Mus musculus: one gene and its partners. The protein of the gene in region 2 purifies or fractionates together with the protein of the main gene of each other region. This does not show direct contact. Links are inferred from orthologs where the notes say so. Each region holds a gene or a part of one and is shown on either strand. Other genes may lie near its edges. The genes, in order: Rbm17, Sf3b4, Phf5a, Dhx15 and Ddx42.

Region 1 (6,591 bases), on a different chromosome or scaffold from region 2:
CAACCATCTGCTCTGCTACAGTGTACCCATATACATAAAATAAATAAATAAACTTTAAAAAAAAACACTGTGTTCATTGAAAGTTTAGAATAAGTTCATTGAGCTAAGAGGTTATATAACTAGAAATAGGTAACTATGAAACTAGAAATAGAACAAAACAAAGTTTTTTTTAAAAAAAGCCAGGCATGCCGGGCGTGGTGGCGCACGCCTTTAATCCCAGCACTTGGGAGGCAGAGGCAGGCGGATTTCTGAGTTCGAGGCCAGCCTGGTCTACAAAGTAAGTTCCAGGACAGCCAGGGCTACACAGAGAAACCCTGTCTCAGAAAAACGAAAAAAAAAAAAAAAAAAAAAAAGCCAGGCACATTCCTTTATCCCAGCACTCAAGAGGCAGAGGCAGTCAGATCTCTGAGTTTAAGGCCACCCTGGTCTACAGAATGAGTTCCAAGATGGCCAGGACTACACAGAGAAACCCTGTCTCAAAAAACCAAACCAAACCAAGCCCAAACCAACCAAACAACACCCCACAGAAAAACAATAAAAAAACAAAACAAACAAACCAAAAAGCCAAAAGAAGGCCTATAATAGTAAACCTACAAAATTGATTTTTTTTTTAAAGCTTCAATTTTCTTTTTTTTTTTAATATATTTTTTGAGTGCAGGTGTTTGGTCTGCATATAAGTCTATGTACCACCTGTGACTGTCACTCACAGAGGCCATGAGATCCCCTGGGACTATAGTTACAGATGTTTGTGAGCTGTCATGTGGGTGCTAAGTAGGTTATAAAGAGCCCCAGGTCCTTTGGAAGAGCAGCTGGTGCTCTTAACTGTTCTCTTCTGCCCCACAAAAACAAAATCTCAACTATTACATGTGTGTGTGTGTGTGTGTGTGTGTGTGTGTGTGTGTGTTAATTCCTTTTCCCTATTTATTATTTCCTATAGTGTTTACTATGAATAACAAGATTGTATTTTTTTGATGTACAGATTTTATTTTTTTTTCAACAGGAATTGTATTATAAAATGTCATGTCAAACTTTTAATCAACCCACACATGGTGTTGCTATCTGATTTCTTTATGTTTATCTGCCACAAGCTGGTACTTTATTCCAGGCTTGCATTTTCAAGCTTTCAGAATTTTTAAAATTTTTTAAATTTTTATTATTTATTTATTTATTTGGCTTTTCGAGACAGGGTTTCTCTGTATAGCTCTGGCTGTCCTGGAACTCACTCTGTAGACCAGGCTGGCCTCGAACTCAGAAATCCCCCTGCCTCTGCCTCCCGAGTGCTGGGATTAAAGGCGTGTGCCACCACGCCTGGCACTTTCAGAATTATTTGAACACTTTCTTGTAAATCAGATTATAATGTTGGTGTGTTCACTTGTGTAAGGTCCACCTCCACAGTTTTATGATGGCTATTCCTGGTTTTCAACTCGACTACATCTGGAATGAACTACAATCCAGAAATGGAGGGCACACAGGATCTTGAGGCTGGAAGACACAGGCTGCTGACCCAGATCTTGACATGGAGATCATGAGACAGCCCAGGCAAGGTAGTGCACAACTTTAATCCCAGGACACTGAGGCAAGCAGTTCTCTGAGTTCAAGGCCAGCCTGGGACAAAGCAAGTTCCGGATCCAGGTGTGGAACTTGAGGACATAAAGACATTGGGAGAAAGAAGATTGACTCACTCCTCGTCACCTTCTTGCACTTACTTGACAGCATCTCTGTTGGAACCGATTTCTTCAGATTGTAGCTTAGACAGAAGACCAGATGAAACAACCTACTTCGTGGGACAGAGCAACTACTAGATTCTTGGGTTTCCCATTCACAGCTGCCCATTGTCAGGTTAGTTGGACTGCAGAGTGTAAATCATTGCAATAAATTCATTTAATATATATAGACAGTCTATAGGTCCTCTGACTATAGAGAACCCTGACTGATACATTTTTCAGCTTGAATTCACCACCACCACCACCCTTTGCGGGGGGGGGGGGGGGTTGTTGTTATTGTTGCTGTTTTTCAAAATAGGGTTTCTGTGTAGTCCTGGCTGTCCTGGAACTCACTATATAGACCAGGCAGGCTTTGAACTCAGAAATCTCTGTCTCTGCCTCTCAAGGGCTGAGATTAAAGGCATGGGTCACAACTGTCCAGCTATAGCTTGAAATAATTTTTACATGCAACCAAAAATATGGGGAAAACATATTTACACAAAGCCCTGGTTTCTCTGACCTTTCTTTTGCCATTTGCTGCATTTTTATTCCAAGCGAGCAAGGTTTATAGTGTTTACATTCTTTCTCTGAAGACCTAGCTCAGTGTGTGTTTTTAATGCTATTAGATTCTGCAACATCTCGCCTGCAAATTTATTTCCACCATTTAGTATATAAGGGAATAGTTGGGAGTGAATACCTGGAGCCTAGTAGGGGATTCGGCTCCTACTCCAAGGTCAGAAGGCACATGAATCTCGAAACCTTGTGCCAATGGCGCCATCTCTTGGCCGGCAGAGAGGAGATGCAATGTAGTCCTCCCGTCAGCAGGGTGCAGTGCGAGCCGGAGAGTGCAGCTTTGCTTCCGCGAGTCACACGCAGGCGCAGACGTGGACTCCCGGCAGCCTCCGCTCTCTTACCCCGCGCGGTGCATCCCTTTGCGGACTCCGTGGAGGCTCGGCGCTGCGGCGGACTCCGGCGGTGGGCGGGCTTCCGCGCAGGGCGGCCGGGCTCCGCGCTGCCGCCGCCGTGGCCCATGGGCACAATCGTCTCGGAAGGCCGGGTGAGTGGCGCCGCGGCGGCCCTGGCAGGCGGTCTGATCCGGAACGTAGACTCGGGTGTGCGCGCCTTCACGGATGCGCTGGACGCGAGGCCGCGGCTCTAGGCCGCGCCGTGAGGGGCGCGGGGATGCGGGCGGGGCACCCCGAGCTGCCCGGGGGGTTCCCAGCCCTCCACGTTGGGCTCCTTCAGCCTGCCACGTTCCACCGGGCCACCTAGATCCCCCCTTCACCAGTCCCGATCCTCTTGACAGTGAAGAAAGTACCTTTCTCCTCTTCATGGCCCATGCCCAGACCAAGTTGTTGGGTCGCAAGACCGCAGTAACCCAGACTGCGTCGGGCCTCAGGAATGGAGAAGCCAAAACACAAACCCCAAAACTTGTTTCCTTCCAGAGCACCTGAAGTGAAGGTTGAGGCCGTTGTCTCACCGGGACAGAGAGTGTCTGTTGTAACCCCCGGCATGCTCAGGCCTGCGCTAAGGGGAGTTTTAGCGTTCATGTCCCTCCGCTAGCTTTCGAGCTTCTTCTGCTTGGACCAGTTGTGCTCTGAATGAGTGCTGCAAGCTCAGTAAGGTGCTTCTCCAGGGGTTAGATCTCTAAGAAGCTCGTTGGAAAACCCAGGCCTGGATTGATCCGAAGAACCAGATTACAAGCTGGAAAGACCTGGAAGAGGAGTTTTATTACAAGTGGAAAGGCTGCACCTATGAGGAAGAGGGAAAGCAAGAGCAGAGAAGCGCTGTAGAGTATTCTGCAGTTTAAGGCTGTGACAGAGGATGAAGAGGGACTTAGAAGGGTGATCAGTCAGACCTTCCTTTGAGAAGTCAGGAAGGGGGGACCATTGACATAAGTTCTTGTTATAATTCTGCTTGTTCTGGGAATAGGTGAGGCCTGTCTCTCTGCAACAGGTGGCTCTTTTAAATCATGGGGACACATTTATACTGGGCTGAGCTGTAAACATTTCGAGATAACAAATTTTAGTAAATATGAGTAATGGAGCCCAGGGTGGCAATATGTCTGGAATTCCAGTGCTTGGAAGGTGCAGGCAGGAGATTAAGAGTTCCGAGGACAAGCCACACGTGGAAATCACATGTGTGATTTCCTACAGGCGTCATTTTTCTCCTACCATATGGGTTCTTGTTGACCCCCTGATTTGTTATTATGTACCTCCTCCCCCCCACCACCTGTCCCCCGCATAAATTTTTCACACATCTTTCCAACAGGGAAGAGTTCCCTCTAGTAGGTCATTCTACAAGTCTTTCAGAACAGTAGAGAAATCTGCTGCGCTGTTTGCTTTAGTTACTCTGGTTAGTTTGTTTTTAACAGTCCCTGGCCAATGGTATCTTGGTAATACGGATGGGAAATGTGAACTATCAGAGATGGCATAGCTACACACGGAAGGGTATAAATGATTCGGTAAAACATCATTAAGTCCTGAGTATAAGATATGATTGTGGTGTGGATCAAGCTAACAGAGGTAGACTTTTAGACTTGTGATGGTTACTCTTGGTTAGCTACATCTGGAATCTACTAAAACCCAATGGCTGGCCACACCTGTGAGGGATTTTTATTTATTTATGGACAGGGTTTCACCTGTGAGGGATTTTATTTATTTATGGACAGGGTTTCTTTTTGTAACAGCCCTGGCCCTCCTGGGACTCATCGATGGTTCTGAGCCACCATTACAGGTGGTTGTTGGAAACTGAACTCAGGACCTCTGGAAGAGCAACCAGTACTCCTACCCACTGAGCCATCTCTTTGGCACCTGGAACTTTATAGTTAATAATGCCCCACATAGAGAGCTTCCGTCTTACTCCATTATCAGTTCTATAACTGAAGGATTTGACTCATAAGTCAGTTCACCATAGTCTTTTAGATTGAGAATTAATTCTAGGCTGGACATAGTGGCATATCCCAGCACTCAAGAGGTGTAGGAAAGAGTCACAAGTTCAAAGCCAACCTCGTCTTTGTGATAAGTTCAAGGCCAGCCTGAGCTACATGAGAGCCCTGAGGACTTTTGTTTGTTTGTTTTTTCTTTTTTAGTTTTTTGAGAGGGTTTCTCTGTATAGTTCTGACTGTCCTGGAACTCACTTTGTAGACCAGGCTGGCCTCAGAAATCCGCCTGCCTCTGCCTCCCAAGTGCTGGGTTTAAAGGCGCGTGCCACCACGCCAGGCTGAGGACTGTTTTTAAACTAGTGCCTAAGTATAGTTTTGCAGATTAGAAAGAACCCTGCATTTGTGACAGGAGGGTCCATGGTGCAGCTGTTTTAACACAGAGACATTCATAACTTGCTTCTGCTTTGCATCTTTTAATCTCTGTCCCTGCTTGTCTTTCAGCATTAAACCAAAAAGATGTCCCTATATGATGACCTGGGAGTGGAGACCAGTGACTCAAAAACTGAAGGCTGGTCCAAAAACTTCAAGCTCCTGCAGTCCCAGCTCCAGGTGAAGAAGGCGGCGCTCACTCAGGCCAAGGTAAGAACAGGCCCAGGGCAGGAGAGGGCAAGTCCGCTGAGTTCCTTTAAGCTTGCTCTTTGCCCCCTTGCTGGATACGTAGAAAAGAGTGGGTGGGCGAGGGGTGGAGAGCTGATTGCCTCTCCTGGCTCTTGGAAACAGCAGGACCATTCATGGAGTGGGAATTAAAAAAAGCCATGAGACTGGCTTTAGACTGGAGCATGCCTGAGACTGACTGCAAACTGTTTACAGATGCTGTTTTCATACCCCTAGTCCTAATAGTCTGGGACTTCTGGCCTAGGCTGGGTCCCAGCTAGTTTATTGTAAGAAGTTTGGAATTGAGCTTTGCAGAATAATCAGAGCCACCCCAACATGCATACAAACATATATACATACATGTTAAGTAAATTTTATTTGGTTGGGTTAATAATCGTGTACACTATGAAAGGCTCTGATGTTTGTGAACATACCCAGGATATATAGTTATAGGTGGGAATTGCTGTGTTGTATACCTGTTAGACTTGGCATTGTCTTGGAGACAGTGCAGCTTTTTCTTTTTCTTTGTTTCTGTTTGTTTTCAACATAAGATTTCAGTATGTGGCTTTGAACTGTCTGTGTCGACCAAGGTGGCCCCAGTTTCACAGAGGTCTGCCTGTCTCTGCCTACCAAGTGCTGGGAATATCACCCCACCCAACTATGCGTATATTTTAATGTCAGCTATTAGCAAATATCTTGAGATTGCAAATAGATTTTGTGGGGGTGGGGTTGTTGAGACAGGGTTTCTCTGTTTAGCCCTGGCTGTCCTGGAACTCACTTTGTAGACCAGGGTGGCCTCGAACTCAGAAATCTGCCTGCCTCTGCCTCTGAAGTGCTGGGATAAAAGGCGTGTGCCACCACGCCTGGCCAGCAAGTAGATTTTAATTTGTCAAAATGGACCATTACTTTAGAATTCATCTGCTAACCTTCTGACCTGAATCTTGAGGCTTCTCTATGTGGTTGATTCTTATGAGGAAGTGAAGTTGCACTGTATTGGTTCTCTTGGGCTCTTCAGTGCCTTTCTCAGAGTACTAGCCACGCTTGTAAAAATACTTGGTAGAGAAAATGTACCTGTATCTGAAAGGTGAAGGTATGGTTTCATTTGTATTTCATTTTTGAAACTACAAATTAAATTTTAAAATGAGCAAATAAGTGATTGTCATAACCCTACTGTGGGAAGTTAGGGTTTATATTGTGATTTTTTTTTTTTTTTATGATTCCTGGATGATATGTTGTTTGCTTAAAGCACCGTTAAAGTCCAGAGAGCTCAGACTTCCTGATAAGAGTGAAAGTTTGTACCCTTTAAATACTGAGAATTTAAACTTTCATGACAACCTCTAGTCCACACGG
Region 2 (4,970 bases):
ACTGTGTCTTATGCCTTCAAGAAGGACTCTAAGGGTGAACGCCATGGCTCAGCAGCTGAAAGACTCCTGGCAGCCCAGAACCCGCTGTCCCAGGCTGACCGCCCTCACCAGCTGTTTGCCGATGCACCCCCTCCGCCCTCTGCCCCCAATCCCGTGGTTTCATCCCTGGGTTCTGGGCTTCCTCCACCAGGTACAGCTTGGAGTTCAGACTGTGCCAGTGAGGCTCTTGGGAGGGAGGCTCAGGAGGCAGAAGCAGCCCTGGTAGAGTAAGCTGCTAAGTTGTTGGGCAGTGAGACAGGAGTGAGGCGTGCTGGTGGAAGGGATGAAGTTGGCGGATGAAGTTGGCAGATGGAGTGAAGCTGAAGGGAAGCCTGCAGGGGGGAGGCTGGAGCTCTGCAAGACATTAACTGTCTTCCATTTCTTACACAGGCATGCCGCCTCCTGGCTCTTTTCCACCTCCAGTGCCACCTCCTGGGGCCCTCCCTCCTGGGATTCCCCCAGCCATGCCCCCACCACCTATGCCACCTGGGGCTGGAGGACATGGCCCCCCAGCAGCAGGGACTCCAGGGGCTGGACATCCCGGTCACGGACACTCACATCCTCACCCGTTCCCACCAGGTGGGATGCCCCATCCAGGTAAGGGCTCTGTGCTGGGAAGGAGCTGAGCTTGTGAGAGGGGCTTTCTTACTGTCTGTCCTGGTAGTCTTGGATGAAAATAGTCCAGAGTCCTCCTTTTCTTCAGAAACAGACAGTACTTTGTACGTGTTGGTGCTCCTGTTTTATCTCCAGTTCTTGTATTTCCTAAAGGATAGCTTGTACTGGGCAAAACTCTCAACCTCTCCTCTGCTTCCAAGGTTGCCAAATCTAGAAGACATTTCTGCTTTTGGCTTTTTGAGAAACGGGTTCTCTGTGTAGCTGGCAGTGTCAAACTCAGAGATCCTCTTGCCTCTGCCTCCCAAGTGCTGGGACTAAAGGCGTGCGTGTTTCTAGATTTCTCTAATGTCAACCATAGCAACCTGGATCGGCTCCTTTTTTTATGTTTGTGTAGATTTTTTGCTTGTTTCTCTTTTCTTTGTTTCTCTGTAGTGTTAAATGTGAAGGTGCTAATTTACCATTGGTCTCTGGTCTTAGGTTCTTGGCAGGCTAGAAAAGGCCACTGCTCAACCCACACTTAACTTTCCTCTTTCTGACACCATCTTCAGTAGTTCTCACTTGTAGGAGCCCAGTTTACAACTCTGGGGCTTTGTCTGTTCTGTCCTCCACTTTGCAGAGCAAGTCTAGCTTATGTTTTTGTCATTGGTCACAAGCCAGTGCTCAGACTGCACTCACTTCCTGTCACTGACTCAGGGACTCATCTACTTTCACTGAGTAACTTTTCCAGGGTATTCACAGACATTTTCTTCTTCTTTTGTTTTTTTTTTGTTTTTTTGTTTTTTGAGACAGGGTTTCTCTGTGTAGCCCTGGCTGTCCTGGAATTCTCTTTTGACCTTGAACTCAGAAATCCACCTGCCTCTGCCTCCCGAGTGCTGGGATTAACGCGTGCGCTACCACGCCCAGCTCAGACATTTCCTTAAAATTCTTCTGTTGCCTTTACTTACAGAAGAAAACCTGGTCTCACTGCTGGCGCTCAGGGTCCTCTTGGTTGGCCTAACTTACAGGCATTGTCATGTTTACTGTTTGGTGTTCACACATGCCAAACTTTCTGCTTGGAGCAGTTGACATCCACTCTCTTGTCTTCTTTTTTTTTTTTTTTTTTTTTTAAGATTTATTTGTTTGTTTGTTTGTTTATTATATATAAGTACACTGTAGCTGACTTCAGACACACCAGAAGAGGGCATCAGATCTCATTACGGGTGGTTGTGAGCCACCATGTGGTTGCTGGGATTTGAACTTCGGACCTTCTGAAGAGCAGTCGGGTTCTCTTACCCACTGAGCCATCTCACCAGCCCTCTCTTGTCTTCTTAAGGACTTGTTTTTGAATACAGTGTAGCCCTGGCTAGCCTGGAACTCTGTAGACTAGGCTAGCTAACTCACACAGATCCACATGCTTCTGCCTCCCTAGTGCTGGGATTAAAAGTGGGCACTCCATGGCAGGCTAAAATTTTCTTTTCTTTTTTTTATAATTTAGCGGGTTTTGTAAATTTTGTTTTGTTTTGTTTTGTTTTGTTTTTTTTGAACCAAAGTCTCCTGTGCCCCAGGCTGGTCTCAACTTGCTAGGTATGTAGTTAGCTACTACTAATCTTTCTGCCTCTACCTTTAGCGTTCTGGGCAATTCAGATATGTGCTACCAGGTCAGATATGTGCTACCAGGCCTGCTCTTCCTAAGGCGTTCTTACTGGCCTTTTAGAATTAAGTCATTGCACGGGCATATAATTTCCACCCAAGTCCTGTCCTACACAGAGCAAAAATTCTGCTTGTTTTATCCTTGGCTGTCACCATCTCTCTGTTTAAGTCAGAAGGAAAGTGAATGCACATTTCATTGTCTTTTTTCTTCACATCAAGAGAAAAGATATTTCTGATGTGCTAAATAAACCTGGGGGAATATTAGCAGCATGGCTACTTTAGCCAGTGCTGTCAGTCACCTTCAGACAGATTGCCTGAGCACGTGGCACTGGCTGGGCTTTACTGTAGGAAGGGTTAAGAATGGTGTCACTGTGTTTAAGTCATCATTGTGCACTCTTCTGTTTTCTTTGCTTTGGTTTCCTTTTTTGTCACTGTCTCCTTGTGTGGTTTATCCATAGGGATGTCCCAGATGCAGCTGGCCCACCATGGCCCCCATGGCCTAGGACACCCCCATGCTGGGCCTCCGGGCTCTGGGGGGCAGCCACCACCTCGGCCACCTCCTGGAATGCCTCATCCTGGACCTCCTCCAATGGGCATGCCCCCCCGAGGGCCTCCTTTTGGATCTCCCATGGGTGAGTGGGTGCTAGCCCATTTCTTATCTTTGCCTTTGTGCAGCTTTCTTTGCCCCTCGCCCTGTCTGGTGCCCTTTCTTTGACTTCCCACATTCCTGCTCTCATCCCTACTCATCTCCACATTAGCTGCTTCCTGTTTTCATTTTTGTTAACTCTTTTTCTTCCTGCAGGTCACCCAGGTCCCATGCCTCCACACGGCATGCGTGGGCCTCCTCCATTGATGCCCCCTCATGGATACACGGGTCCTCCAAGACCCCCTCCCTATGGCTACCAGCGGGGGCCCCTCCCGCCACCCAGACCCACTCCACGGCCCCCAGTTCCACCTCGTGGTCCTCTTCGGGGCCCACTTCCTCAGTAAATTGCCATCCTTTGTCTCCTCCTTTTATCCTCCCTTTATCTTCATTTCTTGGACCAATCAGAGATGCTGTAGCTTGTCAAGGCTAATGTACTGACCCTTCTCAGTAACTCTGTCCCCATTCCAATGTCATGTTTTCCACTGGGGATTTTCTTCATTTTTATTTTAAAATGTTGGTCCTAATTTCTTTACACATGTATAGAAAAATAAAACTATGCTTCTTGTTTGTTCTCTGGTGAAGTAACTTTTAGGAGGAGTCTGGGTTTGTGGGAGGAACAGTATGAAAAAGGGAAGGTGTTTACATTGTAAGGATTTATCTTGCATGTACTTGGAATAGAGCTTATCTTGTTATAGTATGGAGGCATTAGCAACAGAAATAAAATGTCTGGTGATGTGCTAGCAAAGAGTGATGGGCACAGGGGTATCCATTGTAGCACTATCTGGAATTTGGCTGGGAAGTGTCTTTGATTGAGAGGGGCTGGTATGATACACTGGTAAGTCCACATAGAGCTTTACAGCTTTGCAACAACCAAGGAGCTGGGAGAACAGCTCAGCAGCAGTGCATCCTGGGTACTTGCTCTGCTTTCCTTCCTTGACACCAGAGGAGAAAGATGATATATTCTTGTGAAAGATTGTGCGGGTCATAGTAAATGAAATAGGGTCTGTGTGTGTATCCACCCATATATATATATATGATTGGCTACCTTTATCCAGGGGGTAGTGCATATATGTGTGTGTATGTTTGCTTATATTTAAAAAATAGATGACCAACCAATGGAAAGTACCATTAAAATATGGAGGGAAGCCTTGTGCCATTTTATTTTATTTTATTTTGAGCTGGTTTTTGTAACCCTGGCTCTACTGGAATTCACTAGGTAGACCAGGCTGGCCATGAACTCAGATCTGCCTCTGCTGGGGTTGAAGACACCATGCTCAGAGGAAGCTTCAGCTCCTGAGTGTTATTACCATGGCTTTCATCTGGAGCCATGGGAATGTCTTAAGTAATTGCTAGACAGGGTGAGTGAGGAAAGCAGATGTTCAGTGAATGACGCTTAGATCTTAGTCCTAATTGCGTTCACATTCTCCATTCTTCCACTCTAACGTTTATGGTTCCTGCAAAGGCTTTGCTGGTGACCAGGATGAACACAGCAAGTGTTAAACTGTCAGAACATCTAACTTGGTCCGAATGTTCAGGAAGACTTCTTCGGAAAATAGTGATGTCTAGGTTTTTGGTCGGAAGATGGTCTTACTAGTCAGCCATGGTGGTGCATGCCTTTGACCCCGGCAGAGGCGGGCAGGTGGGTCTCTTGAGTTCAAGACCAGTCTGGCCTACATAGTTCCTAGGACAAGCCAGAGTTAAGAAGATGATCTAGCCTAATCCTAACCCAGAAGCCTTACCTGGTTCTCAACAGGCCTTGTCCTCCTGCCTGTCAATAGAATGTTGGAATTGGGAGGTTGCCATGCTCCTAGCTGGAGTTCTCTTGAAAGGTGGATCTAGCACTAAGGCTGTGTGAAGGCTGAGGTCAGAGCCAGGTTGGGCTGGAGGTTTTAGTGCTTTTCAGCTCTTTTTCATTGGTGACCATAAAAACCCTTCAAAACAGCTGGGCAGTGGTGGCGCATGCCTTTAATCCCAGCACTCGGGAGGCAGAGGCAGGTGGATTTCTGAGTTTGAGGCCAGCCTGGTCTACAGAGTGAGTTCC
Region 3 (6,686 bases), on a different chromosome or scaffold from region 2:
TAAGCACAGGGACTGGATGCTAGAGCCGTGACTCAGTGGTTAAGATCACTGCTACTCTTCCTGAGGACCCAGGTCCACTGGCTATTCTTCCAGAGGACTCCCAGCACTCACATGGGGGCTCACTACCATCTGTAACTCCAGTTTCAAGGGGTCTGATTCCCTCTTCTGGCTTCTGTGAACACTGCATGCATGGACACGGTACACATATGTACATGCAGGTAAAACACCCATACACATAAAATAATAAAACTTTACATACACTGAAAATGAAAACAAAACAGGGGTTGTCTTCTTACCAGTTTTTCTACTGGCTATGGTTGCACATGCCTGATCTCAAAGCACTCAGGCAGCTGAGGCAGGAGAATCAAAAAGACAAGGCTGGCATAAGCTACACAGTAAGACCAGTCTCAAAAACAAAAACAAAACAAGAAAAAGAAAAGAAAAAGCCACAAATGTTTATGAAGTAATTAGTGCATGCTAGAGATTGATCAGACAGAGCTATTAAGTAGTAAATACAGCTTCTGAGATGCACGCAGCACAGAAGAGGTAAATGAAAGATGTTCTCAGAGTACAGAGTCAGCAGACATTGCCTGAGACAGGGTGGATTTGGATGCACCGGTACATTGAAAGGATCAGAGTACTACTCACTCACCTTAGCTGAATGAACACATGAGGAGACTCTGATTTTAATCCTGACTACAGCAGTCATCCAAGCTCTCAAGGTCTTAGATTCTCCACATTTAAAAGAAGTTAAACTACATCATTGTAAACACATTCTAATTCCTCATAATTAAATGCTCAATAAGCCTTGTTTAATGAAAACAATCCACAACTGATAGAAAAAGAACTTAGAAAGTTATGGGTACAAGGTCATGGATCATGGAAGGACACGAACTATAGCCCAGATCTCTTTCTACACCATTCTAACACTCACTTTCTAAGGTCCAAATGTGACATAATTCTTTTCTTACAAACTCAAAGGTCATGTATCCTATTAAATAGTCTTTGCCTGACTCCACTAAATCATAGGACAGTGGGGTCAGGACAGAACTCATCGTACTGTCTAAAGAATCAAAAGAACCAGAGATAATTTAGCTGCAAATCCCTTTCATTGGCCAAAAGTTAAATGATTTGTTCAGATAAATGAGTTTGATTTTGCAGTTTGATTTTAAGTAATTTGATAAAGAAAACTTCAAATGATAATGCCTCCTGGGAGTAAGGCACATAATTTTTAAAAATTATTAATTCTATGTTCCAAGTTGATCCAAAACAAATTCACAAAAGTAATCATGAAAGGTTGCCAGAAAATGTCTACAGTTATTTTATGGATTTCTTTTTATGAACAAAATACATTCTTTACAGTAAACATTATACGTTTCTAGGGCTGTAAGGTTAGTAGTGGGAAACCATCTGACAGGCATAGTCAATTTTCTAGACGTCTCATAACAGTCAAGGTCAAACTGTTCACTCTTCTCATCTTTCCACCTAGTATCTGGAAAGCAACTATCGGTGACTTCAAAATATTTGATTCTGTATTCTGACAAATACAAACGATCACACCCTGATTCAGAAAGTTCTGTGATATTAGCTGCCATGAACAACAAGAAGAGAGGGTCTGCAGGGTCACTGCTCAGGCTATGATCCTTTAGTGACACCATGAAAGCCACTACTTTGTCTATATCTTCCAGTTTTTCCACCTACCAAGTTGGGGGAAAAATTATCTCACATCTATGTCGTCAGATAAAACATCTGTAACATTAGTAAACAGCCTTGACATCTGCTGCAAAGGTGAGAAAGCACTCTTATCGTGACTATTTATTATGGTGGGGCCCAGAATAGTCCTTCTTGTGTCTATGACCCCGAGTCTCCTCAAAGGGTAGTAGTGGATATAGCTTCTGCAAACTCCATGCCCGGCAACCACGGATAAATGAGGCGACGAGTCTCTGCTACTGGTGGGAAGTGAAGGCTTCAAGCACCCGGCTTTAGAGGAACCCACAACCACCGCGCCCCCCAATCACCTTGTCATCACCTTGAGGAACAGAAAACCACCCTGGGGGAGCATGGATTCCACCCTCAGAAAAAAAGGAGTGCCTCCACCCTGGACCAGGCTGCCGCTGCTTAAACCCAAGCTTGCCGGCGGGCGGGGATGGGAACTGCGAACAGCCTGTGCCAGGGACGCCTTGACCTAGGACAACGCAGGAACCCACAAGGGCGCTGGGCCTGCAACCGCGACAGGTGCACGGAACGTCAGCCGCGAATCGAGCCCGCCTCGCCTGGCCTCGCCTACAGCCGCGGGCAAGGCAGGAGGCTCCCCGCCCCCGTAAACCCACGTCTCTGGGCTCGCTTACCTGCAGCCGGGTGACCAGGAGGCTGTAAGGCGCCATTTTGTGCACTGACAAAGATGAGGTCGCATGAAAGTGACGTGACAAATGGCGCCCTTAAAAAAGCATCGAAGGGGGCGGGGCTTACAGAGAGACGAGTCAACCGCGAGGGTGGGGCCTCCTCCCGCAGCCAAGAGTGCAGATAGCACAGTGGGCGGGGCTTACATGACGGAAACCCGGCGTGGAAAGCAAAGATGCGGGGAAACTGCCAACTCGGCGTTCGGCGCAACCTTGTCACCTTTGCCCTTGGGTGTGGAAGCTGGAGGGGAGGCAGGAGTTCAAGGTCATCCAGGAAAGAGAATATCCCCAAATCAACATACTTGGCGGAAGCATGCAAGAAGCCCTGGCGTCAATCCCCAACACAGAATGCAACATATGTAGAATTTTTACCCAAGAACAAACTTCAGTTTATGAGTTCAAATCTGGAAGTAAAGAGAATTTTATTCAAAAACCTTTGGTGCACCTGCAAGGACCTAGCGAGGAAACTCTCGCGAGATCTAGCCGGTTTTGGTGCCCCCCCCCACCCCCCGAGGCTAAAGGCTGACGGACAGCTTAATGGCCAATCACGGAGGAACGGAAGTAAGCACGCCGTAGGTTAAAGGTCGGGCGGAAGTTCCCTAAGCTTCCGGCCGCCGGCTTGGAAAAAGAGTTATGGCTAAACATCATCCAGATTTGATTTTCTGCCGCAAGCAGGCTGGTGTGGGTGAGTTGGGGACGTGCTCCCTTTTGGTTGAGTGGGATGGGATTAGAAAGTGGGGGACTAGGGACTTCAGCCTCCTCTTTAGGGCTCTGGTTTGCCGTGTCCACGTTTCGCGCCTTACGGTGCCTGGGTATTCTAGCAGCGCTCACCGGCTTGTGGCATCTTAGAAGAGGGCAGCAGCGCGCATCCGGGAGTCTAAGGCTGGCGGGATCCTCTGTGCCAGGTCTGGAGAAGCCGGTCTAGAATACTTTGAATTTTGGGGGGTTCCAGACATTTTTTTTATTTTTGACATGGCCTTTGGTGTAAAGCAAAATTTAGGGTCGTGGGCCGGGAACTCTTGTCTGTAATCCCAGCACCTGGGAGGCAGAAGGCTGGAAGATTGCTGCGAGTTCGAGCCTGGCTAGAGCTTAAAAGCTAACTCAAGCTACACAGTGGGATTCTATCACAAAAAAGTAGGGGGTGGGGGACAGTGGAGAGGGAGGAAAGGAGAATGTGACCACGATCCTGTACGGTTGACTGTAATCATTGCTACCTTCGCCATCCTCTATACTCAGTTTGACGAAAAACTTTGCTTGCTACCTCACAACCTTAATTTTAACGATGTTTTACTATCTTTGACCTTGCAGCTATCGGAAGACTGTGTGAAAAATGTAAGCCGAACACGCCCTCTCAGGCCTTGACACCTTTACTCTTTGAAGAGTCGTCAATTCCAGTGGAACAGCAAAGAAGTCTTTTTTTGGGGGGGGGGGTGTTTTAAGACAGGGTTTCTCTGTATAGCCCTGGCTGTCCAGGAACTCACTCTGTAGACCAGGCTGGAACTCAGAAATCCGCCTGTCTCTTCTTCCCAAGTGCTGGGACTAAAGACGTATGCCAACACTGCCTGGCTAGTAAAGAAGTCTTAAATAGATAAACCAGCCTGCAGAGGATACTAAATACCTGGCTGCCACCAAAGACTGCCCCACCATCCTCCCACTTAAGCATGCAATTTTTAATACTTCATATTTAGGTTTTGAAAAAAAATGTCTACTTTTGGACAGTAAGATTTGTCAAGAGTAGTGGGGACCTTCCCAGCCCAATGACATTTGTCAATTTGTTGACAGTAACTACATAGACTTAAAAGCTCCCAGACACTAATACAAACTCTTTCCATGAACTACTAAACTGAGACGGGTACAGGATAAGGCTTATGCTGTCAAGGTAGAAGAAGGTCCTAAGGTCACTGTCAGAAGGAGACTAGTGATTTCCCGCATAGGGCAGAGGAGAGATCTTAGGGGAGTAATCGCTATTGGCTATAACTCAGTTCTCCTCTCTCTACAGGTGACGGCAAGTGTGTGATCTGTGATTCCTACGTGCGTCCCTGCACCCTGGTCCGCATATGTGATGAGTGTAACTATGGATCTTACCAGGGCCGGTGTGTAATCTGTGGCGGCCCCGGAGTCTCCGATGCCTACTACTGTAAAGAGTGCACCATTCAGGAGAAGGATGTGAGTGTAGGCTGAGCTTCCTACCCGCTCTTCTCTTCCTTTTACTTTGAACCATTTTGCCATCCATGGCCACCTCTTCTGATCTGGGCTGTGGAGATTGCAGTGTTCAGCTAGTTATCTAGGTAATTTCTTCAAGCCTGTGAGCCAAACTGGGTGTGGTCTAATAAAGAGCAGTTACTCTGTATCAGGGCAGAATGGAAGAGAAGCAAGTCTTCATTGGTATCAGCAGTTAGGAGAACTTCTCCATGTACCTTGCTGTCTCCTGCGAATGGGTGTGTGGACAACCTGCTGAAGGCAGTTCTCCCTGTAGACTCTGGTCCTGGCGGTTGAGTGCAAATGTTAGGCTTGTCAAGTGTGTTTACCTGCTGTCTTAGTTAGGTTTCTTCTCAATGATACAACAAGATTAAAAGCAGCTTTAAAGAAAGAAAAGGTTTTCTTCCACACCTCCAGGTAACAGTTTGTCGATGCGGGAGCCACGGAGGATCGATCACTGCTCTTTCCCCTCCAGTTTGCTCAGCCTGCTTTCTTACTGCCTCCAGTTCCACCAGCCCATGAGTAGTGCTACCCACACTGGGCTGGGCTCTCCCATGTCTGCCATTAATCAAGAAAGTGCACCACTGGTCGAACTAGTGGGCCTTTCTCAATTGAGCTTTCATCTTTTAAAATGACCCTAGTTTGTGTCAGGCTGACATAAAGTTAGCCAGGGCAGCTCATTTTTATTCCTTTTTTTGTTTGTTTTGTTTTGTTTTGTTTTGTTGTTGTTTTGGTTTTGGTTTTTTTGAGACAGAGTTTCTCTGTGTAGACCAGGCTGGCCTCGAACTCAGAAATCCGCCTGCCTCTGCCTCCCGAGTGCTGGGATTAAAGGCGTTCATTTTTATTCTTAGCCACATGTAAGATCCTCTGTTTGTGTGCTAATGAGTACGTCGGTGCTGTGTAGAAGACACTCAGTGGCTCTGCCTGTATCTGTCTTCCTCTTTTTCTCACAGACATAGGTGCCAGTGTGTCTCAAAATGGCCTGGAACCAAAGGTCCTCCTGCTTCAGCTTCCTGAGTGCAGAGGTTACAGATTTGTACCCACATAGTGGTTCTCTGGGCAGGGATGTAGGATGTGGCAGCTACTGAGGTAGCCTTGCTATGTTGGCCCTGGCTGGTCTAGTGCTCATTATGTAGTCCAGGGTAGCCTGAAACTCAAAGCAGTCCTCCTGCCTCAGCCAGCCTCTTAGATAATAGGATTACTTGCCCAACTTGGTTCTCTTAAATCCACTGTGATTAAAGACAGTTTAGGTAGATCTGGTGGTCACATGAGTTAGGGATAGTTATAGTTGATACCAGCTTTAAGTAAGAAGAATGGTATCATGTTGCAAATTGGTTGCTGGTCTTATGTTTTTGTTTCTTGACTGGTGCAGAAAGGAAACGTCTATTGCTTGAGTAAAACTAAGTAGAATATAGTCTGGCTGGACTAATTGAAGATGCTGGAGAACCTAAGCAAGGAGGAGACAGCTGAGCATGGTGGCGCACACCTTTAATTCCGGTACCTGAGAGGCAGAGGCAGGCAAATCCTATGACTTCAAAGTCAGACTAATGTACAGAGCAAATTCCAGGACAGCAAGGGCTACAGAGAAACCCTGTCTCAAAAAAAAGGGCAGAACATAGCTCTAAATATTCCCATGTGTGTGTAGGTTTGTAGGTGTAATCGCTTCCTCATCCCTCACACAGTGTAAGTAGAGGTTATCGTTTTTCTAACCTGTCCCAGGCTGTCTGACTAAACCATGTGTCCACATTACACCATGTGGTCCTTTCTTGAGGCCTTGGTGTGTGCTCGTGTTAGAGAATTAGCACACTCTGCATGCAGATGCTACTCACCGCCAGTCCCGGAGCTCTGTATGGTGCGGAGGCGGATGATCTGCGGTAGCTGCACTCTGGGTTGTGAATGACGATGTAATAAAGGGAAGTAAGGGAGGAAACGGGGAGCAGGAGACAGACAGCAACACATCCTCAAGTCGGGGTCCCACCACATCAGCAGAACGTGCCTGGGAAGCCACATCCAGGCATTTAGCTAGGGCTCCCAGTTGGGAGCTTTTTCTCCATGGGTGAATGTCAGGCTTCTCTTCCCTGCAGCCTT
Region 4 (5,911 bases), on a different chromosome or scaffold from region 2:
AATGCATCTATTTTATTTTTAAAAAAAAAACTTAAAATGGAAAAGCATGAAAAATACATATGGTTTGACTTTCCAAAAAACACTAACTAAACAAAGATTATTAATAGCACGTGAAATAATTTAAAATTCTACTGATATTAATAAAGTTAAAGCTACATTCTCATGAATCTTTTTTTACAAGAGTTCAACACATTAAATTTAAAAGTTAAGGGTTTGATACAGGGTCTCTCTGTATACCAAGCTGCCTTCAAACTGCCCTGCCTCTGCCTCTCACACGCTGAAATTAAAGGTGTCATCATCCACAGCTAAAAGTTTGAGTTCTTATTAGCATCAAGTTGTCCCTCAATTGGGTCTTTTAATATTTTTGGTTGCTACAATATCAAAATGTCTCTATGAAATACTCAACTTTGATCACATAAAGAAAAATCCTAAGCCAGACATGGTGGTCCACACCTAAGGTTCAGGCAGCAGGACAGTAAACTAGAAGCAAGCCTAGACAGACTACATAGCAAGATCCTTCCTTAAAAAAAAAGGGGGGGGGGCAGGGGGGTCTGAATGTACAGGTCAGTGATAAGTGATAAGCACTTGCTTAGCAGCATGTGCCAACTATAAATGTTTACCCTACATTCATAAAAACGTAAAGAGTAAGCCAATAAATGCCTTTTATCTTTGCATATTAAATAGACAATTATAAAGTTAATTTCAGTATCTTCCCGAATTTTAGAAATGTCTACCATGTCCAGCAACTTTTGTAGTCAAGACGAAACTTTTTTTAACTAATGGCTTTCCAAGTGCCTATTAAATCCACAAGTACTTCATTCAACCATCAGATTAACAGTTCAGGGATATAACCAAAAAGTTTATAGATGTTTCAAGAGTAATTTGCTATGCTCCATGAGGAAAGAAGATTTAGCTACATGGAGTACAACTGTAATAAATCTAGCCATTTCAAAATCTACAAACATACTTATCCCTGAAGTCATTAAACAAAGCCTGAGGTTGGTATGTCAGCTGAGGGAGTTAAAGGCACTGGCCATTAAGGCTAACAACTTGAGTTCAATTCTCAATACCCATAGGATGAACAATAACTCTAAGTTATTCTGATTGCCACACATGTGCTACGGCATGGGTGCATCCATACACAAACATACACACATAAATAGATGCAATAATATACAAAATATAAAACAGGCTGCATGTCTATCAACAAGATCGACTTGTTCATGTTTAAAAACTGGGCACCTGGTGAGACACATTTAACAGTGTTTAGTACTGTATGCTAGAGGCAGATGGATGCAGGTCACAACCACACTTTGTACCTTGTAGCGTTTCTAATCATTTTCTTCTTTTAAGAAAGGATCTCATTATATAGATAAAACCGACCTTGAATTCAGAGACTTGCCTACCTGATCCCTAAATGCTGGAATTAAAAGGTATGCATTATCATGACTGGCAAGTTCAAGTTTTTTTTTTTAAACACTATTCACATAATTCAAAATATTCTAACAAATACTTGGGAGTAGAAGCAACTGCTCCAATTGTTCAGATTTCTCTACTCAAGCTCTAGAAAACAAACTTTGTATTTCTAAGTCTGTATTGTCCCAGGGTAAAATGTGTTGGAAATTATTTCTGTCATACTTACAAGATGAGAATATACCAGTTTTTTTCCTATGTGGACTCAGAAAAAACTAAACACTCTCTACTTGAATCACACTCTTAAAGTCATTAAAAAGTACTCATCAAAGTACTATTCTTCAAGGTACTCTACAAGACAACTGGAAATGAGTTGACAGACAATGGAAAAGAACTACCAAGACCCAATCAGCATCTTAAGTTTAAACATGCACATAACACATTTACCATGGTATTTAACAACTCACCTGTGTTGTTTTACCAGACCCAGTCTCACCAACAAGTACAAATGACTGATGTCTAACAAGAATATCTGTAAATCTATCCTTGTATTCCCATACAGGGAGCTGAAGTCGTTTCTTTAGAATATCATAGTATCGAGGAGTATGGGGCAGGTTGGTGAATGGATTAATGCACTGTGGAAGTGATGTGTGTCCTGTGTGTCCAGTGTGTGTTGAGTGGGCAGAATGTGTAGAATGTGTTGAATGAGCCGAGTGGGTTGAGTGAGCTGAATGAGAAGCTTTTAAAGGTGGCAATCCAGCACTGATAAGCATAGCATTGGTGGAAGCTCTCAATTCTTTTTCCTTTTCTTTTTCCCTCTCCCGTTCTCTGTCTCCTCTATCACGTTCTCGGTCACGATCTTTAGATCGGTCCTCTCTATCCCGATCTCGTTCCCGGTCTTTCCTAGAAATAATGCAAAAATTTAGAAATCAGAGTGATTTCAAAAACATCAATTAGTTATTAAAAATTACGACCAGATTCTTTACATAACAGCATAAACACTCTTTACTACCAAGTCTCTAGTTCCATCCTTCTAAAACCTTAAGCATGATAGCCACTGAACCACAGGCCACCACAATAGCTCAGCTCCCAAGTCTGACAGTCTTAACTGAATACACAAGACACATCCTCAACACAAAATACAAGGTAATTAAAAAAACAAAACAACAATGAAAAGGACACCTGAAAATGGGTATAGTGGCATACACCTTTAAAAACCCTGCATTTGGACACAGAGGCAAGGGGGTCTCTGTGAATACCTAGACCAATTGAAATGAAATGTAGTCAAATTAAAAACATTCACAAAATACAGAATTGTTTTAAAAACTAAGTAATTCACTTTTCTGAAGTTATTTTAAGAAGTCATTTCTGATATCTACTACATATATTCTTAATGGAGAAATTTTAAAATACAACAATATGGCTTTGAGTTGCATCTGAAGGTGGTCTGAGTAGTTAGTGACGGAAGAAACCTGTTTGCTCACTCATTCTAACTTCAGACCAGCTCATATACCATAAGTTGCCATAAGGTTTGGGGACCCAGACTAAATTAATGAGGCAATATGGAGATTTGACAAAAACAAACCCCTAAACCTGTCATTGCTCTTAACATACAACACATAAAGTCCATTTTCTGTGACCTAAATATCAGTACACCAGAGCAAGAAAGAGCACTCTCTCTCTCCCCACAATGTAATGGGGGAGCAAGAGTCAAGACCTTAAACAGAACACAGCTAAGATGCTAACTAAGCACAGCACTGTGAGAATGGTTTAGCCACAGCAGTGGGAAACTGTTAACTTTATCCAATCTTAGTCCTAAAATATAAGATTCTATCCCATATAATCTTACAGTGAGGAAAAGCCTCACTAGCCTGTGGCTTCTCTACCTCCATTCTAATGATACCCACTACAGAATTATAAAGCCAGTGCTGGTGGCACACGCCTTTCATCCCAGCACTTGGGAGGCAGAGGCAGGTGAGTTTGTAGCCAGCCTGGACTACAGAGAGTTCCAGGACAGCCAGGGCAACACAGAGAAACCCTGACTAAAAAGAACAAAACCAACCTCCTCCCCTCCCTCCCAACCACCAAAAAAACAAAGAACAGCAAAAACCCCACACCCAAATCCCACAAAACACACATGCACACACACAACTAAATAAAGCCTCACAAGTCAGCCAAAGCCCAAAATAATTAAAAGTATGTAGGTAACAGGTGGAGTGGGGACACACACATGTACTGGCACGCACACACGTACAACACAGAGACACAGAACAAGGACTATGATTGGGATGTGTTATATGAGAAGAATCTATTTTCAATAAGACAAGTTTTAAACTCTTTTCATTTAATAAAAGAAAGAAAAATAGGGGAAAAGAAGAAATACAAAATAAAGTCTCAAAATGTCACAAGCTAAGTCTGTCTCTGAAATAGACCTCAACCATGGCCTTTGTTTCTAATTTTGTCTACGCACTCCTTAACTGGGTTCTAGATCACCTCAAAATAAGGATAAAGGAAGGATACAAATTCAAATAGCTCAAGGATGAGATATCCTGCAGACCTAGTGGTCCAGTGAAAGCTAGAGAACCTGAGTTCAAATCTAGTGCCTCAGGTGGGCCTGTAACCCCAGGATCCAGGTGAGAGGGGAGGGAGGGAGACAGATGAATTTTGAGTTTGATGGGAAAAATTAGCTTCAAATTCAGTGAGACTCCCATCTCAAACAAATGAGCACAAACACACAGAAAAGTTTAGAAAGGGTTCATGTCTGTAGTTATTACCCTAATAGGAAAGCCAATAAGAAATGTAATAAACACCATCCATACTACCAAGACAATTAAGACATAACCTTTCCAAAGCAACAAAAACTTCAGGAAAGATAAACACAAGGCATAGCAGTCCATGTAATGTTATGTGGTAAATTAACACTTATACTAACACACACCTTTTTCCAAGACACACTTCACCTACAGCTCCATTACTATAGCAGAGAAAGAAATACAATGCAAAACACAAGGATTTGCTAATCAGTGAGGTGAAAATTTAAATAAAAACCACAGCAAAGGCCTAAAACTCACTTTATCTACTCTGCAAAGTGGAAAAAACATCAACTATCAAGAAACATTTAGGGATATGCAGAAAACTGATGCAATGCCTAGGAACGCTGCTGCAGTTCACACTGGCTACTCTGAATGATGATGATACAAAAGGTCTGTTAGATGAGGATCCATGGCCTCTCCACATTGTATACATTATAGACATGACCATATACACATTTTCTTGTTTAAATGGAAACTTTAACTATAAAAGTTTTGTTCATAAAAATTTTCAAGTTGAAGCAATGCTTTTAACTTTAAAGAAACTAAAAACAATCTCAGTGTGATGGTTACATGCCTTTACTCCCAGCACTCAGGAGGCAGAGGCAGGCTGATCTCTTGCTTATGCTGGAGGCCAGCCTGGTTTACATAGTGAGTTTCTAATAGCCAGGGCTACGCAGTAGTAGAGAGATGCTGTCTCTTTTTAGGAAGTAAGGAAGGAAGGAAGGAAGGAAGGAAGGAAGGAAGGAAGGAAAAGTGCTTTAAACAGCACTTTAGTCAACACTGACAATTATTAAGAACAATGTTTTCTTGCTCACATGCAAGCTGTGGCTTTTAAGATGGAACTAAAAACATTTAATAAGATAATACATGTAATAATGCCTGGAATATCTGAAATGTACCAACAAACACTGGTTACTACTGATGTTTCAGTTTAAATTGTACTTGGAATAATAATAGGCACTAATATACTGCTAGTAAGTATGGAAACTAGTCATCTACTCTAGATATTTTATATAAACTACTTTTTTTCTGACAGTCTCACTTTGGGAACTTCTAAGCATGTGCATTAACGTGCATACATAAGGATACTCATACTTTCATCTACAGAAAATTCGAGGAAAGCACTTAACACCAATGAGCAAGACAAGAGACAACTACTGTACTACACAGCCAATGGGACCCAAATCCCAAGAGCTCACTGATATTACATTTTGTATTTAGGAATAAGTATGGACTCCAAAGATGGAAATAATGATTTGTAGTAGCTTACTGCTTTTTTCTTTATACATTTATGTGTGAAAATTTCTTGCCCTTTGCATCTTATCATCTTATTATTTAATTTCAGCTACCACGGGATTGTAGTGAAACACATAATTACAAATTCTTATCAGGAATATTAAGAACCATTAGGATAAAAATGTCCTTCCCAGATTTCTTGGGAGCTGGTGAGATGGCTCAGACTGAAAAACTGGGTTGACCCCTGAGGCCATCATGGTCAAGAGGAGGTAACTGACTCCGTGGTTTCTTCTCCTGGCCGCCCCTCCACCCCCACCCCCACCCACACGTGCTGGAATGGAGACAGCAAGGTCTGGTGACAGCTGGGGTGACAAAATGAACAAGCCTATGCTGTCAAATACACTAAACAAGAGCAAAGAGGGGGAGGGAGGGAAGCAAAGAGTCCCTGG
Region 5 (5,911 bases), on a different chromosome or scaffold from region 2:
TCTGCAAAGAACACAATTCAAGGTTAAACCCAAGAAGAGAAGCAGACAGGGTACACACTTAGGTAGGAAGGAGGAGCTTCTTTGTTCATCTTTAGCTGATGCTTTTCTGATGAGAGGGACCATTCGTAGTAAAGGTCCTATCTTGGCCTTTTGAGGACACAGATGACTCAATTTCTGTACCTTCCACTACCACTTCCTAAGGACTGGGATTAGAAGTATTTACCACCATTGTACAGTTTACATGGCAACAGGGATTGAATTGAGGGTTTCAAGCACACCAGGGAAGCACTGTAACAACAAGCCACATTCCTAACTCCAATATGCCCTCTTTTTGATAGCTTGACATAACAAATTTATCAGTGTGCTTCGGTGCTTACCTAAGGTGTCCCTTGTTACTCCTTTGTGGAAGTACAGTGATTAATAAACATAAACTGTAAAATAACTATTTTACATTGGTCACGTCTAACTTTAGAGTTTGTAAAAATGATTTATTTTTATTAGTGAGTGTGTATCTGTCTGTGTAAGTTTAAGTTCACCAAGTGCATGGTACACACCTTACACACCTTGTGTTTGCAGAGGACACTGAAATCTCCTGGGATGGGAGTTACAGTGTAAGCCACCTAACGTGGGTGCTGGGAACTGAAGCAGGGTCCTCCGCAGGAGCAGTAAGTGTTTTCAACCACGGAGCCATCTCCTCAGGCCCGGGCTTTACCTTACATCCCAGGACTTCTCAACCTTCTTAGTGCTTGAGCTTTCATACAGTCATTATGTTGGGGCCACCCCAACCACATTATTTCGTTCTTACTTTATAACTGTAGTTTTGCTATTGTATTGAATCATAATATAAACATCTGTCTTTTTTGATGGTCCTAGGTAACTCCTGTGAAAGGTCATTTGACCCCCAAAAGGATTGCGGCCCATAGGTTGGGAACTATGACTCAATCCTCCTACTGGACACAAACTTACACAGTTAGGAGCAAAGCTTTATAAAGAACAGGCATATTGAGAAATGAAGGGGAAAGCTAGATAAAATAAGGCTTATTAAGAACTGATTTTAGACAGGCATGGTGGCACACACCTTTAACTCTAGCACTGGGAAAGCAAAGACAGGTGGATGTCTGTCAGTTCAAAGCCAGCCTGATCTACATAGTGAGTTCTAAGACAACCAGGGCCACATAGTGAAGCCCTGCCTCAGAAGAGCAAACAAGCAGAATGCACACATCTCGGAGTTAAAGCTTCATCCAAGACTTACAGACTAAAGTATGGCAGGCTTGGAAAGGTACCGAGCACAGAAAGCCCAAAACACAAAAAAGGTGCACAAAAACACTGTGCAAACTATACCCTTCAAATTTTAGTTTTGCTCTATATCAAGGAAAGGGTAAAAAAGATCACTCTCCTTTCTTCTGCACTGCAGTTCTTCACCACTAGCGTGACAAACAAGAGTATTCCCAACAGCCCAGCTGTACAACATACGGCTAAAACAGCCAAATAGACTGGCTTGAGTCAAACAAATACTTCCTACTATCAGAACTTGTCTTGAGGAATGTGTGCCTAGTACCCACAGACCCTGAGTTTAATCACTAGCTTGCAATAAAAAACAAACTGTCCTGAATCAACTTGTTATTTGAGAACTGCACAGAATAAGTGATTCAAGGTATAATTTGGCACAGTATCTTACTTAGTTTTGGAATAGAGCATATCTGGAAGTGGGCAATCAGTATGGTCAGATGTGAAATGTTAAAATGTAAGAAATACTTAAAGCCCATGTCAGAGAGGCAGGGGGTGCAGTTCAATAGTAGAGCACTTGCCTAGCATGTACAAAAAACCCTGGATTTAATGCCTAGTAGCAAAAACAAAAACAAATAATCACACAATTGTTTCCTTAGTAAACAAATACTTTTTAGCCCTCAAAAAGAGAAGACTTGGGGAAGAGGAATGGGCAAGAACAGTGGGCATCTTCTGATATTAAACTTACTCATAAAAGTGTGCTATGGGGCAAGTAGAAACTAAAGAAACAGACTTTAGCCCAAAGAAAGGAGCAGTTTTTCAACAGAAAGCATAGAAAGAACATACACATGAATTGTGACATCCCATGGTGCCAGTCTACATAGTAACCAGCCCTTTCTGCCCATTTTCTTTCAGGCTCCTATGTTACTCCCTCCCTTGCCTGTTGAATTCCTTACTCAGTTGAATTGTTTTTATTAACTTTGATTGCCTAACCCTTACCTGCATTGCAAGATCTAAGAGCTCCTTAGAAACATGTTGGTTGGCTCCTTCCAGGTTCCGTACAAGGTCACCAGCAAAATTGCTGTCCTTTGGAGTCAATAAGGTATAGGCTACACCCTTCTCACCAGCTCTTCCTGTCCGGCCAATCCTGTGAGTGTGCGTATCAATGTCCCGTGCTACATCATAGTTAATGACTGTCTTAATGGAAGGAATATCCAGACCACGGGCTGAAATACAAAGTATTGAGTTTCTTTTACTTTTTATCTACAGTTAAGAAGAAGAAGAAGAAAAAAAATCGAAGTAACTAGAAATGCTAGATTTCTAATAATGTGCATTCCCCATACCTAGGCAAGCTCATGGATATGAAGCCAAGAATAGAAAGTAGTTCACTCTTTTGCGAGTAACATAAATATAAAAAAATACTGTGGATAATTTTACTGGAATCACACCTGCAATTCCAATACTTGAAAGAGGTAGGCAGAAGGACTGGAGTTCAAGGTCACTTGGGCTATACGTATATAAGAACTCATCTCAAAAATAAAAACAGAAGCCAGGTGTGGTGGTACACACCTTCAGTCCTAGTACCCAGGAGGCAGAGGCAGGTGGATCTCTGAGTTTGAGGACAGCCTGGTCTACATAAGGACAGCCAGGGCTACACAGAGAAACCTTATCTTGAAAAGACAACAAAACAAAACCCCCCAAACAAACAACCCCCTCCCCAACCCCATACAAGTTAACCGTTTAAGGACTGTAATTCAGTTAGTAGTATCATGTTTGCATAAGGACCTGAGTTCAGTACCCAGAACCTCTGTGTGTGTGTGTGTGTGTGTGTGTGTGTGTGGATGTGGGTGTGGGTGTATGCATACATATATATCACAACTTGTGTATAGAGGATAGAAAACAACTTGGGGGGGGGGGGTCGGGTTTTTTTCCCTCCACTTTGAGTCCTGAGTACCAAGCTCAGGCTGTCAGGGCTGGTTGGCAAGTACCCAGTGAACCATCTTGGAGGTCCAAAACACTAGCTTTTAAGGGTAGCCGATAAACTTAACAGAGTAAAGCCAAAGCTTATATTACTAATTTAAGATACACACTGCAGTGGACATGAGGGCATAACTGTTCCCCTCAAGACATCCTCTGGCTGCAAGGGTACTCTGATGACCAAGAATAGTAAATGAAGGTGGCCACAGAGCCACTGCGCTCTACAGGTCTCATTACAGAGCAAGGCAACACCCATAAAATAAAGGCTGGGGTTATGATGAAATTCATACTCTTACCTGCAACATCAGTGGCCACCAGGACGGGGATGTCCTTTTTCTTAAAATCTGAAATAACCTTGTTTCTTTCGCTCTGATCCATGTCCCCATGGAGCAGACCAAGATTATGACCCTCCTGCTTCAGGTTACTGGCTAGCTCTTCAGCATTGGCTTTCTTAGTAACAAACAAGAGCACACTCCCCGAGGAAGTAAACTCCACCAGACGCCGAGTCAGCCAGTTCCATTTACTGGGTCCGGAATGGAGAATCTCCACAATCTGTGTCACATCTTCATTCGCCTGAGAGGAAATAAATAACCAGTTGTGACTCACGTCACAGGAAACTTCGGAGACTAGGTATTTTATTTTCTACCTGCATGGGAATAGCTCTGCACAATCCCTGTTATCGTTGGGGTTTCCTTTAGTATGTCAAATATAGCTTAAAACTTATTATTCCTTTAAAGCACCTTGCACACCAATTCCCCCGGTATGTTCATTTCTAATTTGTATGCCAAAATAATCTACAATGATTGTTATAAACCTATTTTTATTATTCCCTCGGGAGTACTTTTCGGGGTCTTGCCCACTCCCTGTCAAGCAGAATTTATATGTAAGTACATTAAAAATAAGAACCCGACATACAAAGGTGCTTACCACTCAGAAACTTTAAAAACAACTATGAGAAATTATACATATGGTTGGCTAATAAATACATATTTTAATAAAGATCTGTTTCCAACTCAAAGAAAGGATTTACTATTTGAGGTGTTAGATATGCTAATTACACATTACATACATGTATTGAAATGCCACACAATATCCCATAAATATTTATAATTATGTGTCAAAAACCCTATTGTCCTAGTTGAGTTTTTGTCAAATTGATACAAGCTAGAGTTATCTCAGAGGAGGAACCTCAACTGACAGAATGCCTGTAGGCAATTTGTGGGGTATTTTCTGGTTGCTAATTGAGATGGGAGAGGCCAGCCCTCTGGGGTGGTACCACCTCTGGGTGGGTGGTTCTGAGTTGTATAAGAAAGTAGGCTGAGCAAGCCATGGGAAGCATGACATAAGCAAGTGTTCCTTCATGGCCTTTGCTGGATCCAGTTTCCTGCCTTGACTTCTTTTCACTCAGTTGTATGCTGGAATTCAAGAAGTGGGCCACCACCCAGTTCTTTTAAAACTTTAAAACATTAAAAACTTGTGGAAAAAGCCAGGCGTGGCGGCACATGCCTTTAGTCCCAGCATTCACAAGGCAGAAACAGGGATATCCCTGAGTTCAAGGCCAACCTGGTCTACTGGTCTACAAGTGAGTTCCAAGACAGCCAAAGCTACATAGTGAAACTTGTTAATTCCCATATACCCATCACTCATCTTCCATCAATCATCTGTGCCACTCGTGTTTTCACTATTCCCTTAACTTGTCTATCTTAAAACAAATCCAGGAGCTGTGGAGATGGCTCAGCAGTTAAGAACACTGGCTGCTCTTCCAAAAGACAAGGGTTCAATTCCCAGTATTCACATAGCAGTCCACAACTATCGGTACCTCTAGTTCCAGGGGATCCAATACTGTCACACACATACAAGCAAGCAGAACACCAACATACATAAAATAAAAATAAACAAATCATTAAAAAAAAAAGAAAAAAAATTAAATCTAAAACAGAACAATCATTACTTAAGAATTAAATTCCACAGCCTCATGAGAAATAAATCCCAGGACCCACCCTGCCTTAAGCAGGATTACCTACCTCTCCAATGTCTCCCTGCACCACTCGAATAGGGTCAATCAAGATGTCTCTGGCCAACTTTTCAATCTTCTTTCGAAAAGTTGCACTGAATAAGAGAGCTAAAAGATAAAGCAAATTCTGTTAAAAATCACTTCTTACTGAATTCACTCTTTAAGCTTCTGTAATGTAACTGATTCACTAAATAAAAGTGATTTTTTTTTTTTTTTTTTTTTTTGAGACAGGGTTTCTCTGTGTAGCCCTGGCTGTCCTGGAACTCACTTTGTAGACCAGGCTGGCCTCGAACTCAGAAATCCGCCTGCCTCTGCTCCTGAGTGCTGGGATTAAAGGCGTGCGCCACCATGCCTGGCCGTGATTTTTTTTTTAAACTTCATTTTCAATCAAGAAATGAGTTGCCATAATGGTTCAGGAAAAGACTTTAATTTTGAATCAGCAGATTTACACTGCAGGAAATTATTTAAATTCAATTTTAGCACCAATAAAAAGTGAGCAGTGTGCTGGGCCTGGTGGCATGAACCCATAATCCCAGCTATTTGGAGGAGGAAGCATGAAGGAGTACTTCAAGTTTATGGCTGCCTAGGCTATAGTGAGTTCAAGGACAGCCTAGTCAGCTCAGCAAGACTCTACCTAAAAAACAAAGTGAAAAAGAGGACTGGAAATTCATATGCAGCTAAGAGAGGTAGAGT

The links.
Region 1: the proteins of Sf3b4 (region 2) and Rbm17 purify together in Homo sapiens (affinity purification with mass spectrometry; 4 studies listed by BioGRID and IntAct, with this or other methods). This does not show direct contact. The link is inferred for Mus musculus from reciprocal best matches to the Homo sapiens genes SF3B4 and RBM17.
Region 3: the proteins of Sf3b4 (region 2) and Phf5a purify together in Homo sapiens (affinity purification with mass spectrometry; 6 studies listed by BioGRID and IntAct, with this or other methods). This does not show direct contact. The link is inferred for Mus musculus from reciprocal best matches to the Homo sapiens genes SF3B4 and PHF5A.
Region 4: the proteins of Sf3b4 (region 2) and Dhx15 purify together in Homo sapiens (co-immunoprecipitation; 4 studies listed by BioGRID and IntAct, with this or other methods). This does not show direct contact. The link is inferred for Mus musculus from reciprocal best matches to the Homo sapiens genes SF3B4 and DHX15.
Region 5: the proteins of Sf3b4 (region 2) and Ddx42 purify together in Homo sapiens (affinity purification with mass spectrometry; 3 studies listed by BioGRID and IntAct, with this or other methods). This does not show direct contact. The link is inferred for Mus musculus from reciprocal best matches to the Homo sapiens genes SF3B4 and DDX42.

What each region holds. Positions count from the first base shown.
Region 1 is NC_000068.7:11,599,254-11,605,844, reverse strand, and holds the start of Rbm17 (splicing factor 45), read left to right. Parts: upstream 1-2,645; 5' UTR 2,646-2,760; intron 2,761-5,088; 5' UTR 5,089-5,103; coding exon 5,104-5,226; intron 5,227-6,591. UniProt on the Homo sapiens protein: Splice factor that binds to the single-stranded 3'AG at the exon/intron border and promotes its utilization in the second catalytic step. Involved in the regulation of alternative splicing and the utilization of cryptic splice sites.
Region 2 is NC_000069.6:96,173,894-96,178,863, forward strand, and holds the end of Sf3b4 (splicing factor 3B subunit 4), read left to right. Parts: coding exon 1-190; intron 191-429; coding exon 430-636; intron 637-2,467; exon of another isoform or gene 2,468-2,594; intron 2,595-2,741; coding exon 2,742-2,915; intron 2,916-3,085; coding exon 3,086-3,273; 3' UTR 3,274-3,671; downstream 3,672-4,970. UniProt on the Homo sapiens protein: Component of the 17S U2 SnRNP complex of the spliceosome, a large ribonucleoprotein complex that removes introns from transcribed pre-mRNAs.
Region 3 is NC_000081.6:81,868,211-81,874,896, reverse strand, and holds the start of Phf5a (PHD finger-like domain-containing protein 5A), read left to right. Parts: upstream 1-3,004; 5' UTR 3,005-3,032; coding exon 3,033-3,084; intron 3,085-3,707; coding exon 3,708-3,731; intron 3,732-4,398; coding exon 4,399-4,565; intron 4,566-6,686. Other genes in the region: Aco2 (aconitate hydratase, mitochondrial precursor), read right to left, coding at 2,349-2,384.
Region 4 is NC_000071.6:52,182,588-52,188,498, forward strand, and holds part of Dhx15 (pre-mRNA-splicing factor ATP-dependent RNA helicase DHX15), read right to left. Parts: intron 2,317-5,911; coding exon 1,881-2,316; intron 1-1,880.
Region 5 is NC_000077.6:106,239,417-106,245,327, reverse strand, and holds part of Ddx42 (ATP-dependent RNA helicase DDX42), read right to left. Parts: intron 5,327-5,911; coding exon 5,229-5,326; intron 3,778-5,228; coding exon 3,501-3,777; intron 2,454-3,500; coding exon 2,227-2,453; intron 2-2,226; coding exon 1-1. UniProt on the Homo sapiens protein: ATP-dependent RNA helicase that binds to partially double-stranded RNAs (dsRNAs) in order to unwind RNA secondary structures. Unwinding is promoted in the presence of single-strand binding proteins.